Xenopus tropicalis: one gene and its partner. The protein of the gene in region 1 purifies or fractionates together with the protein of each later gene. This does not show direct contact. Links are inferred from orthologs where the notes say so. Each region holds a gene or a part of one and is shown on either strand. Other genes may lie near its edges.

Region 1 (6,308 bases):
GTTGCAGTATTCTATCCAGGCACACCAGGAAGTGAATGCTCCATTCAGATTGTTGTAATCCTTTGGAAATAGATACAAACATAGTTGCATGCAATAAATATGAAATAAAAATGTCTTGCTATGATGTGTCCGTTATTAACATGAAATTTCTGTTAAGATTGCCATACATGTCCAGGCAGTATGCCCAGTTCTGATTATACTGCTGAACCATCTGGTCATGTCTGGCACAGTAGGGTTTCATTTTGACAGACCATCCATTTGTGTTTGGTCTGTCCAAGATTTATATATATATATATATTGTCTGGCAGGGCAACATCTTATCATATGAACAGGGCATGTGAAGTGAAATGAGCAATCGCAATACTTGAGAGATGGAGGGGTGTGCACCTGTGCCAAACGTTTAAAATAGTATTTATTCCACATTTATACCAGATCCAGACAGTTGTATCTGTATAACCAAAACTTAGTGATGACTAGAAAAACATCGGATTGCTTTTCTTACCTCAGTTACCGTCTTACCGCAGACAGTTTCCAAAACGACCAGCATAAATAATTATTATTTATAAATTATAATTAAAGCTTTTTTTTAAAAATTACTAATACTGCCCAGAATAAAATACCTGTCTTCTTGCACTCAGTCTCATTTCATTTGTACAGCACAAGCAGCTCATTTCAGCTACTTCCTTGGCTAGCATGAAGCTCTGTTCCTTTATTTTCTAAGCTCTCCTTTATTGACTGTAAAGATGGTGGAAGAGGTGCCTACTGCACATGCCTGATTGCTTTCCATTGGAGCAGAGGCAGACTGACTTTACAGTCACAGAGAGCGGGAGAGCGCAGAAAAGGGTGTGGTGCTTCACACTAGACTAGAAAGGAGCTGAAAGAGCTGCACTTTAGCTGCTTGTAATTTAAAACCCACATGAGACTGAATTCAGAGAGAAAGGTATGCTATCCTGGGCTCAGTTTAGAGACTTTTTAGGGGATTTTAAAGTAAAAAGCTTACGTATACTTTTAATATAAGCAATATATTTGGAGATCAAATATATCCTTTAATCAGCCATGGCTATCTTGCTTATTGGATTTGTTAGGGCTGGGCTTTAGGTGTCAGATATGCTGTTGTGATACCATTACACTGGCAGTGGTTGTTTGCAAGTGATCACTTTACTAGGGTTAATGTATTAATTACTGAAGTATTTGTGTTCCAGAAGAAGGTCACACTGAGCTGTAATATATTTGTGGAACATCATTATGACACTTAAAGCATCCTGTTCTAACATGAAATAGAAAAAGCCATTAGCAGATGGTCAAGTAAAATGAGAGCAAAAATGTAGATTTTTTTAATTTTGTTTCAGTAAAGGAGCCGCTTTGAAGCTTGTGTCACTGCATCAGTGTAAGAAATGATGAACTGCCTTTGCCAGACTTTGCATTTATCAAAGTTCTTTAACTTTTTTTTTTTAAATAAAGAAATTATGATTTTGACATTCAGTTTCTGTTTTCATTATTCCATCACCCATATCCTGATTTATTGGGTGGTTTCAGTAAGTGATCTCACCCATTCTTTAAATGATCAGTAAGACCAACATTCCGTTTTGTATTTAGTTTGTCATATGACCTATATTTACATTCATTCTTTATTTCAATATAAGTTCATTCCTTGAATTTAATTTTGTTTTTCTTTGTGCTTTTGCTATTGGCTCTGCTGCATTTATCCATCTTCTATCTGTTATATCATAAATAATGCATAATTCATTATTGGTCCATATAGCCCTGCCAGAAAAGCTGCAGATATTTATAAATAAAAACATGATTCCTAGAAATGACTTTTCTAATGAACATTATGTGAAAATTCTTTTTAAGGCATTATTTTCACTGACTGGTCGTGGTGGTTCTTACAATCGGTTTTTACTGTAAAATATTGGGTTTTCTTTATTTTTCCTTCACTGCTTTTACCAAGAGAGAGTCTAGTTAAAGAGGGATGTTTTTCTATTTTTAGTGTAGTGTATAGGGTTTACATACTTACTTTTTGTATTATGACACAGGACTGCCACATTCTTTCCCTTGGACTATCCCATTCATCCCTATAGCTGGTTTCTTTTGGTGCTACTTAAAATCTCCTGAAGCCCTGAAACTCATTATCAGGGGCTTTTCAGTAGACTAGTAATCCGTTTTCGCAGCTCCTTTGAAGTTCTTTTGGACTTGAAGTAAGAAGATGGGCTAACGTGAAACTGGCTTCATATTCTTGTTTAGTGCCAGGAATGACAGAAACCATAGGTATTTCTTAATTAAAACAATAGGCAAAAAAGCATGTTCTGCACAAGTAGCTAATGTTAAAAAGGGTGTATACTGTCCCTTTTAAATGCTCCTTTTATAGTAAATTATGCCTTAGTGCAAATTTAAAAAAGAAAGTAACATTTAAGTTTTTATTCACTTTTAACCCCAGTGCTTTCTGTTGTATTATGCTATAGACTATTTATTAGGCTAGTGGGGGCTGTTTGGGACTCTGTGTACTTGAAATGCCAGGGAATGTTTTGAATCCCAGTCCAGACATGCATCCAGCTTTACGTGTGTGTGTGTGTGTGTGTGTGTGTGTGTGTGTGTATATATATGAGGCTACACAAAAGCCCTGGCTGCATTTGGTGCCTGTAGTAGTGTTTGATTTCCTATGGCATACCCAAAGGCACACAAAAGCCTTCTACATGGGAGTAAAAACTCTTCATTCTGTTCTTCTGTATCCTAGAAACAATACTTTTGAAACCCTTTAATGGATGGCATCGCTGGCATAGGCAACCAAATACATGCTCTTGTTTTCACTTGATAGATGGAAAGAAAGTTGAGGTCAATCTGTGTTGTTGCATTGAGATGCCAGAGAAACTGTATGGTTACGATGTATAAAAATTTAATTTCAGTTCAGGTTCTTTATGGTCCTATTAAGCCTGCAAAGCACCAAAACTGGTGGTCGTAGGCTTGAAAATCTAGGTCTTTTGTGAATCAGCTCTTTGGAATAGGGAGTTTGTTGATCTGTTTATTTGAAAGAAGCCATATACCGTACTTGCTTGTGCTGCACATTTGGTAGTGGTAGAATCTATTAAGTGAGCTCTGTCATTGATGTGGGAATTCAGAGTAAATGTATTATAACACTGGCTGCATGATCGCAGTATCCACATGCACTTATTGCCTGTTGTGTTTTATTATATGTTCATAGTTTGAGTAAATGCCGTAACTTCTCATTAATGTACCATGCCTTTTCATTACTACATAATGGAAATGTCTTAACAAGCTGTGCACTCATGTTTTATTAAGGTGTAGTTTCAATAACTCGGAGTCAGATTAACCTCACTCCAGGAGTTTATATGCAAGTTTGCTTGGGTGTGCTAGTCGCTTTAGATATGTTGACTTAATATTGGCAACAATACGGAGAACATCCCATATACAGCGTGGAAAATATACTGCAACCCCATCTGCATTGTAAAGGTTTCCCTAGGCCACTTGCACATCAGTATTGGGTGTAAAAGCTTCCAGTGTTACCGTAAGGCTGGCAAATGATGGATATGGGTTGGCATTGTGTTAACCTGAAAAGCTACGCAGCATGAATGCAGCATGTTTCCAAAGTCTGCACCTATCCATTGGGTGGACATATCCTACTCTGTAGCAGTCTATTTGAGATTAAAGTAATTGTGTATTAGAAATTTGTGATTTGGTTTTTATTAATGGCAAATACAGCTCTCACAAGAAATGGCACTATGTTAATAGTCTCATAGCATCAGGGTTCTGTGTCACTTACACCCCTATGCCACAGAAGTTACATTCCCTGTGAAGCCTTCCAGGCCCTGACTTATGGCAAGCACTGTGCCATGCCCCCTGTTCTGAAGGACTGTGCCATTAGAGTCTGGATGGTTGGCAGTGGGCTGCAAAGGGAGCTGTAAGTGTGTAGCATAGGGCTTGGCACAGCAACTTTGTCAGAAAGGCTTCTAGTGTTACTTTGGAAAGTTACTGTAATACCAAGAAAATCTCTCACATGAGACACATGTTCTTTTCCTTTAAGGGGCTGTGGATTTTCCTGCAGCACTTGAGCTATATAAGACATTTGTCCATCTAATAAATATATATATATATATATATATATATATATATATATATATATTATATATATAATATTATATATATAATATGCTGTTCTTTGGGGTTTTTTTGTGTTCAGGGTCATAAATGTGTTTCTTGTTTTAAAAAAAAGTGTTATGTAGTCGATTGGATAATGTTTATTTTCAAGCTTTGCCACTGAATTGCTAAATTCACATTATGCACCCTGTTTTTGTCTTTTTCCCTCTAGGTGAAAACATCTGAATTCTACCGGTACTCACGGCAGCTGAGGCACGAAGTTGAGCAAGCCCTGAACTACTTCCATAATGTCAGCGAGCAGCCTCTGATGGAAATGAAATCAAACCACATCCGTTCAGCAAAACCCCAGACTGCAGTATTCCGGGGAATGATTGGGCACAGCATGGTTAATAGCAAGATCCTCCTTCTTCATAAGCCTCGTGTGTGGTGGGAGCTTGAAGGACCCCTGGTTCCACTCCGTCCAGACTGCCTTGCCATCGTCAACAATTTTGTTTTCTTGCTGGGGGGAGAGGAACTCGGGCCGGATGGTGAATTTCATGCATCTTCTAAAGTATTCAGATATGATCCACGACAAAACAGCTGGCTGCGAATGGCAGACATGTCAGTACCGCGGTCGGAATTTGCCGTCGGAGTCATTGGTAGATATATTTATGCTGTGGCTGGAAGGACGCGTGATGAAACCTTTTACTCCACAGAGCGATATGATATCATAGAAAACAAATGGGAGTTTGTGGACCCTTACCCTGTCAACAAATATGGCCACGAGGGGACCGTTCTTAATAATAAATTGTTCATCACAGGTGGCATTACATCCTCTTCAACTTCTAAGCAGGTGTGTGTGTTTGACCCAAGCAAAGTGGGAACAGTGGAACAAAGAACCAGAAGAACACAGGTTCTAACAAACTGCTGGGAAAATAAGTGCAAAATGAATTACGCTAGGTGTTTCCACAAGATGATTTCATACAATGGCAAACTGTACGTCTTTGGCGGAGTCTGCGTTATTTTAAGGGCTTCATTTGAATCGCAGGGCTGCCCATCTACGGAAGTTTATGATCCCGATATGGATCAGTGGACTATATTGGCATCTATGCCAATAGGTAGGAGTGGTCATGGAGTAGCTGTGCTAGACAATCAAATCATAGTGCTTGGTGGCCTCTGTTACAATGGGCATTATAGTGATTCCATCTTAACCTTTGACCCAGAGGAGAACAAATGGAAAGAGGATGAGTATCCCAGAATGCCTTGCAAGCTGGATGGTTTACAAGTATGCAGCCTGCATTTTCCAGAATACGTTTTAGAGCATGTGAAACGTTGCACATAAAAATGATCAACTTTTGTTTTTAGCAATTTTTAAAAAAAAAAAAAAATGTCTTAAGCAACTCAGACCTTGTGCTATTCCCATAGCTAAAGGCAGGTTCTCATGACACTGACTACTTGGTTTTCTTTGTTCTCTGAAAGCATTATATGAATCAGGATGCCCATTGTGGACTTGGCAGGCTTGGGGTGGCCGTGCCCAGTCTGGCTAAGTTTTGTTTTTTATTTAAATACATTTTGTCTGTTTTCCAATCACTTTGTCTTTTTATTCCTCTGCAACAAAATCCACTGTTGGTGTCCTGATATACAGGCTGATCATAAAAAATCAAAAAGAAAATATAACATGGAAATAATTGGGTATGTAATGGATGATGGTTTGTCTATTGTGGCATGGTGGGAAGACTGTGGGTAATTTGCAGTAAATCCTGACTGTTTCCACACACATGCCCATATTTAATGACATGTATTTTTGAGCTCTGCATCTCATGAAATAATTAAAGGAGAAGTAAACCCTAAAAATGAATCTTGAATCTAGAAATGCTGCATCTTATATAATGAGCTTATTGCACCAGCCTAAAGGCTCAGCATCTCTATAGTAGCAATAATTCAGTCCTTCAGAGAGGAGAAGCTAAATTAAGTCTGTCATAGAAGTTGAAATGCTGATAATAATTGCACTGGTTTCTGAGCTGCAATGTAATGAGGATCTGAATTATTTACTAATTGGCCTTGTATTGTATATTTTATAATAGATATATATAATATATATATATATATATATATATGAGAGCGAATAAATTACCCTCTATTGTAAAATATAGGGATATTATAAGTCACCAAGGAGTTCTATGACCATATAAAGGCCCGAGGGCTGAGTGCTTTTA
Region 2 (6,308 bases), on another chromosome or scaffold:
ACAGTAACAGCAAAAAATTAAAGAGTTTTAAAGTAAATGAAATATAATGTACTGTTGCCCTGCACTGGTAAAAGTTGTGTGTTTGCTACAGTAACTCTACTATAGGCTATATATAATAAGCTGGTGTAGGCCCGGGGGCAGCCATTCAAGCTGGAAAAAAGGAGAAAGGGCACAGGTTACATAGCAGATAACGGATAAGCTCTGTAGAATACAATAGTGTTTTATCTGTTATCTGCCTGTGCCTTTTCTCTTTTGAACAGCTTCCCCCATGGCTACACAGCTGCATTCTTTATATAAACCATAGTAGTGTTTCAGAGGCAAACACACCAGTTGTACCATCGCAGGGCAGCAGTACATTATATTGGAATTTCTTTTATACACTTGAATTTTTTGGTGTTACTGTTCCTTTAATGTTTATAGCTTGAGAACTCCCTTATCCTCTTTGAGTTATTGCAATTTTTTTTCTATGTTAGATCATTTGGTTTTTGGAAATGATTAAACCCCAACTCTTATATATAAGTATATGTATATTTGCATCCATTCAGGGAACAAGAAGACTACCAAGCTGACCCTGACAGTTACAATGGAGCCATAAGAAAGAATTATGTTTGGTCTCAGGATTACACAGATGTGGAAATTAAAGTTCCAGTGCCTAAATCTGTAATAAAAGGTCGGCAGGTAAGCAACACCATATTTATTGAGTAACTTGTGATATACAGGCGGGCAGATGTAGTTTTATTACAGAAAACTGAGAAGAGACAAGTCCCAAAGACTTGTGTCCTAAAGGGGGCAGTGTAAGGCAATGTATGGTTATGATGCTAACTGGCAAGGTGTTTGCCTTATAGAGCCATTTTCCCAGCAGAGGGTGACAGAGATCAATACATTGAAGGATCTAGAAACTGCTTTGGGGAGGGAAGTAAATAGAGTGGTATGCCGCAGTGTGTAACTGTGTAATTCTGCATGTCTGGCATATAGTTTATCACAGTAAATATTAAAAACATATACCAGGTATGAAATCCATTATACAGAAAAATCTGAAAAACGATTACCAAAACCTTCCCAAACATCCTGCTGGATAATAGATTCCATACCTGTACAGTCTTTTATCAGACAGTAATGTGTTATATGATTATATCATTTTCCCATGTGAAAGACTGGAATCTGTCATTTGTAAACAATAAGACTAAACTGTGCAGCTGTAATGCCAATTTATTTCCCAGTATGGGTGGTAGTACAAGTGAGAGAAAGTATACAGATGCTGCTACAGCGTTAGGGTGAAGACACACCGAGCTACTAGTAGCAGCTACTTGTCACGGCTGCTAAAATAGACAGTGCTGATCATTTACTGGTAATTGTCTCTATGTGTGTTTTAGCAGAGGCACTTCTCAGTATTGTCTATGGCATGGTATTTTCTGGAGTTAAGTAGCCATGAAAAAGTAGCTGCTACTAGTAGGTCTGTGTGTTTTTATCCTTGTGTATTTCATGCTACTATTCTGGGCAGCCCCAGGTGGTGTGATAGAGAACTTCGCTGGGCAGGATCATATTGGGCCAGCAGGATACTGGGACAGAACCTTATGGGCCCCTTCGAGAGACCTCTGCTGCTGGGGTGTGGGGCTCTTAATGTAGCGGTGGCCCCCTGGTGGAACCCAGACACGCCACTCATGCCTGCCTCTGTCCTTAGGATCATATGTGACCTGTTCCCGATGCTAAAGCTAGGGACGACCTCCTGCCATCAAATGGATTAGTGGCAAAAAACAGGGCAAGCTCAATGCAAAGGCAATACTTCAGCAACTAATAAAAAAAAACTGTCTTAGGATATCACTGACTTCATTAAAGTCAAAATTATTTTTAAGATGAACTTTCCATTTAAATGGGAGAATATTTAAGAGGTTACAAAGGATATCGATACCCATGAAAACTATTTTAAAAATACATATTGATATTTTAAGAAAACTTTTAATAAAAAGAAAGGCATTTTAGTAAATAGAAAAATAGGAACTATCTCACGTATGAAGATACACCTATCTGCAATGTAGATGTGTTCACATCCGTCACAGTGTACTTACGTGTAACATAAATACCAACATACATAAATAACCTCACAATTTGTCATGAATGTCATGACAATAGTTGTGGTAGGGACAGAGAACCCTGGGGAGATATGTTTGTATGCATATTTATATTTATTTATATAGTGCTGCTTGTATAGCAGGGAAAATAAGTATTGAACATGTTTTTCTTAGTAAATATATTTCTAATGGGGCTATTGACATGAAATTTACACCAGATGTCTGTAACAACCAAAGTAATCCACATGTACAAAGAAATCAAAACAAATAAGTCCATACATTATGTGTAGTAAAGTGAAATGACACAGGGAATAAGTATTAAACACGCTGAACACTGAAATGTATTTAATACTTAGTAGAAAAGCCTTTGTTGGGAATGACGGATTAAGGCGCCTCCTGTAGGAGAAACTAGTGGCGTGTATTGTTCAGGTGGGACTTTGGCCCATTCTGCCACACAAACTGTGTTCAAATCTTGAAGGTTCCAGGGGCCTCTTCTATGAACTCTGATCTTCAGTTCCTTCCATAGATTTTCAGTTGGATTCAAGTTGGTTGATTGACTGGGTAATTCTAGCAGCTTTATTTTCTTTCTCTGAAACCAACTGAGAGTTTCCTTGGCTGTGTGTTTGGGATCATTGTCTTGCTGAAATGTCCAGCCTCGTTTCATCTTCATCATCCTGGTGGATGGCAGCAGATTCTATAATTATAGAATTATATGAAGTCTGCCAGTACCATATGCTAAAAAACATCCTTACACCATGATGCTCCCATTACAAATTTGTAATGAATGTATATTGGAACATTGCTTAGAATTATTATTATTATTATTGTTATTATTGTTATTATTAGGCAAACATTATTTTTGGGGGTTTTTTTCTGTGTTTGCATAATGAAAAAATTATAATGCCAAGCAACATCCAAACATAAATTTGTATTTTTAAAGTTACTTGTAACTATAATTGATATTAAGAACAGTGGGTTTTATCCCTTTCTATGGAGGTTCTGTTATCTTTGCATATTAATTTAAATGAATTGTAACACCAAAAATTGTGTTTAAAATGTAATGTACTTTTGCCCTGCACTGGTAAACCTAGTGTGTTGGCTTGAGAAACAATACTATAGTATATATAAATAAGCTGATGTGTAGCCATAGGGCCAGCCAAGCTGGAAAAAGGAGAAAAGGCACAGGTTACATAGCAGATAACAGATAAGCTCTGTAAAATATAATGGTGTTTTACAGAGCTTATCTGTTATCTGCTAAATGACCTGTGCCATTTAGCCCTATTTCAGTTTGAATGGCTATTCCTGTGGCTACACAGCAGCTATATTTACATAAACTATAGTAGGGTAGGGGCAAACACAGGGCAACAGTACATTATATTTGAATTACTTTGATACACTTTAATTTTTTTGCATTACTGTTTCTTTAAAACCACAGAACACTATTAATGGCTGTATATTGAAAAGAGAATATACAGCCGTGTTCATTTTCAATTTAATTATGGCCAGTTAACAGAGTTAAAACAAGTGACTGTGAGTGGGCAATACATTTGCTTTAGCATGGAACTTTGACCAAATAAAACCTGGGTTCACATTATTATCTCATATTACAGCCCCCAACAATGAGCTTATAAACTGTACATAGATAATAATAGGATGTCCTATCCAACCACAGATATCATGGGGATTAAGAAGGAGCTCTGCTTATGGAATCAGGTTGGGAACAAGCTGCATATTATTGTTTACTAACTCATTGCACAGTATCACTGTGCTTAGCTGCTGACTTGCATTGCACAAAATTACCTTTTCCAAAATGGCCCCCATTCGGTATCTTCTGTGATACCTGTGCTACTGTTGCTGTATTGAGTAAAGGACAGAGCACCTTTGATTCTAATGGGCGTATGACTCCCTTGTCTGCACCCTCTTCCTCAGGTGTCAGTGGACCTGCGCAGTAGCTGTATTCGTGTGGCGGTGAGAGAAGGAGGAGGGGAACGTGTTCTGGTGGAGGGAAGCTTTACTCACAAAATAAATGCAGAGACCTCTCTCTGGAGTCTGGAACCTGGAAAGTGTATTGTGGTAAGACTCTTTAATAAGATACTGAATCTGACTTGTGTGCAGCTTGTTAAGGCATATATAATCACTATGAATAATCAGGATCTTTTATTTCCTTTGAGACTGGTGTCAATCATGAGCTGAATTATTCACGTTCCCATGTGTTCTTCCATGCCACTCACTTGCCATTTTTTTAGGTCAGTTGTAGAGGTGGGTGCCTTGCTAGGTGACAGTAATTAATTTTGTTATACAGAATAAGCCCTCTGTTACTGCCATCAGCATGGTCCCACCATGCACCCTGCATATAGATCACATGGGCCATGTCTGAGAGACCCACAACCTGTGGTTTAATCTTCAGTTATTATCAGCTTATTGAGACTTAGCAGGACCATACTCCCAATAGAACTCCTAAATAATTTCTACACTTAGATCAATAGTCAGCTTGGCCATACTCCTTCCATTCATCTCACCACTTAATAAGAACAAGTTGCTGGCCAGCTCCTTGGTTACTACCCACTCCTCTAAACTTTGTGGTTATAGGTGGGTGTATAGCAGTTTTTAAAGAAAAATGAACTTATACATTATAAATACACTAAAGCGTTTGTTTTCTCTCTTATTGCATATTTAAAGTTTCCTATTCTTGGTACATCTGGCATTTGGGTGCTTTATGGTTCTGCCATTAAATTTTACTCTCCCTGCTAGTTTTCTTTTGGAAACATATTTGATCTCATGGATTTTGTTATTAATAATGATACAAGTTTGCATCTGTATTCCTTCCATACTGTATTAATAACTACTTCTCTGGTTTATGTAGTATTCAATTTGTATATATTCAACTTGTATCCTATTTCTGATTCACGGGTGTTTATTCAAGTTTATTTGCATTGACTCAAAGTTCCCCTAAACGCCTTATCCCTGTCTTGCTTTATGGCTAAGATATTAGATATTTTTAATTCTATGAGTGTCCATTGAGCTCCTAAGCTCTCTGAATAAACATTGTATAGCATTTCCGTGCTCCCCATATTTCATTTTCAGAAACTTCTCTTGCATCTTTCATCCTTCCAATGTAGTTTGTGTGTAGTCATATGGTAGATTCCACCAAATTTTCATTCACTCCCTTATCATGACACATCTTGATTTGCTGCAGTCCCCTGCTGTCTGGTTTTTCACTCTGCAGGCTGTCTGCTTTACTGTCTACAATAAATCCTGCTGCAAAGCTTATTCATCTTGCTAGTTGTTCCTCCTCCCCTGACAGTGCCTCAAGAGTCCTTCTAGAATTATATCTAAATAAACCCAATGCCTACCCAAATTCTTTACATTCCAGTAAATCACCACTTCATGAGTTTATGTTCATCCCATGATCTGCTTCTTTTACAACCTTTCTCCATTATGCCTTCAAGACTTCTTCAGGGGCTCTACGTCTCTCTTTTTCCCTTTGTGCATTGTAATACTTGCCTCCACATTTCACCCATTGCTTTCCTAAATGGGACTATAAAACGCAGGATGTTGGTATGCAGCTAACAGTTCTGCTTCAGGGTCCAAAATTGTCTCATCAGTCCTGCATTCTTCCCCTTTTTGTTCATTAATAATCCATATGCAAGTTTGCAACAAACCTATTATCATTATTCTTAATAAAGCGCCAACAAATTGAGCAGGGCTGTTACATCCTTCACATGAGTCCCTGCCCCAGTGGAACTTACAGTATTAGATCCCTATCATATTCACACACTATGGGCAGTTTTACCAGGAGCCATTAACCTGCCTGTTTGGAGTGTGGAGAAAACTACCCAGGGGAAACCCATACATACACGGGAAAATATACAAACACATAGGTGATGTTGCTCATGAACCTTAATTCTCTAGGCTGCCAATTAACAAAAGTGCTGCAACCCCTCCATGTATCATTCAGAACGTGATGAAACTTTGTTAGTACATTGTATTTAAAGTGTAGTGGGAACTCTCCACAGATCAGCTTGAGTAAGTGTGGCGAGGTTTGGTGGAATGCCGTATTGGAAGATGAAGAAAAGATTGACATAGACAAGATCAACAAAGAACGCAGCATGGCTACTGTGGATGATGAGGAACATGCTGTTTTGGACCGACTAACATTTGATTATCACCAGAAGTTGCAGGGGAAGCCTCAAAGCCATGAGTTGGTAAGCCCTAAAAACAAAAGTATCATGATCCACA

Evidence for each region. Proteins that work in one complex are often made in the same cells at the same time.
Region 2: the proteins of klhl15 (region 1) and nudcd3 purify together in Homo sapiens (co-immunoprecipitation; 3 studies listed by BioGRID and IntAct, with this or other methods). This does not show direct contact. The link is inferred for Xenopus tropicalis from reciprocal best matches to the Homo sapiens genes KLHL15 and NUDCD3.

What each region holds. Positions count from the first base shown.
Region 1 is NC_030678.2:43,214,317-43,220,624, reverse strand, and holds the end of klhl15 (kelch-like protein 15), read left to right. Parts: intron 1-4,324; coding exon 4,325-5,434; 3' UTR 5,435-5,682; downstream 5,683-6,308. UniProt on the Homo sapiens protein: Substrate-specific adapter for CUL3 E3 ubiquitin-protein ligase complex.
Region 2 is NC_030679.2:126,201,098-126,207,405, reverse strand, and holds part of nudcd3 (nudC domain-containing protein 3), read left to right. Parts: intron 1-545; coding exon 546-678; intron 679-3,998; coding exon 3,999-4,142; intron 4,143-6,085; coding exon 6,086-6,274; intron 6,275-6,308.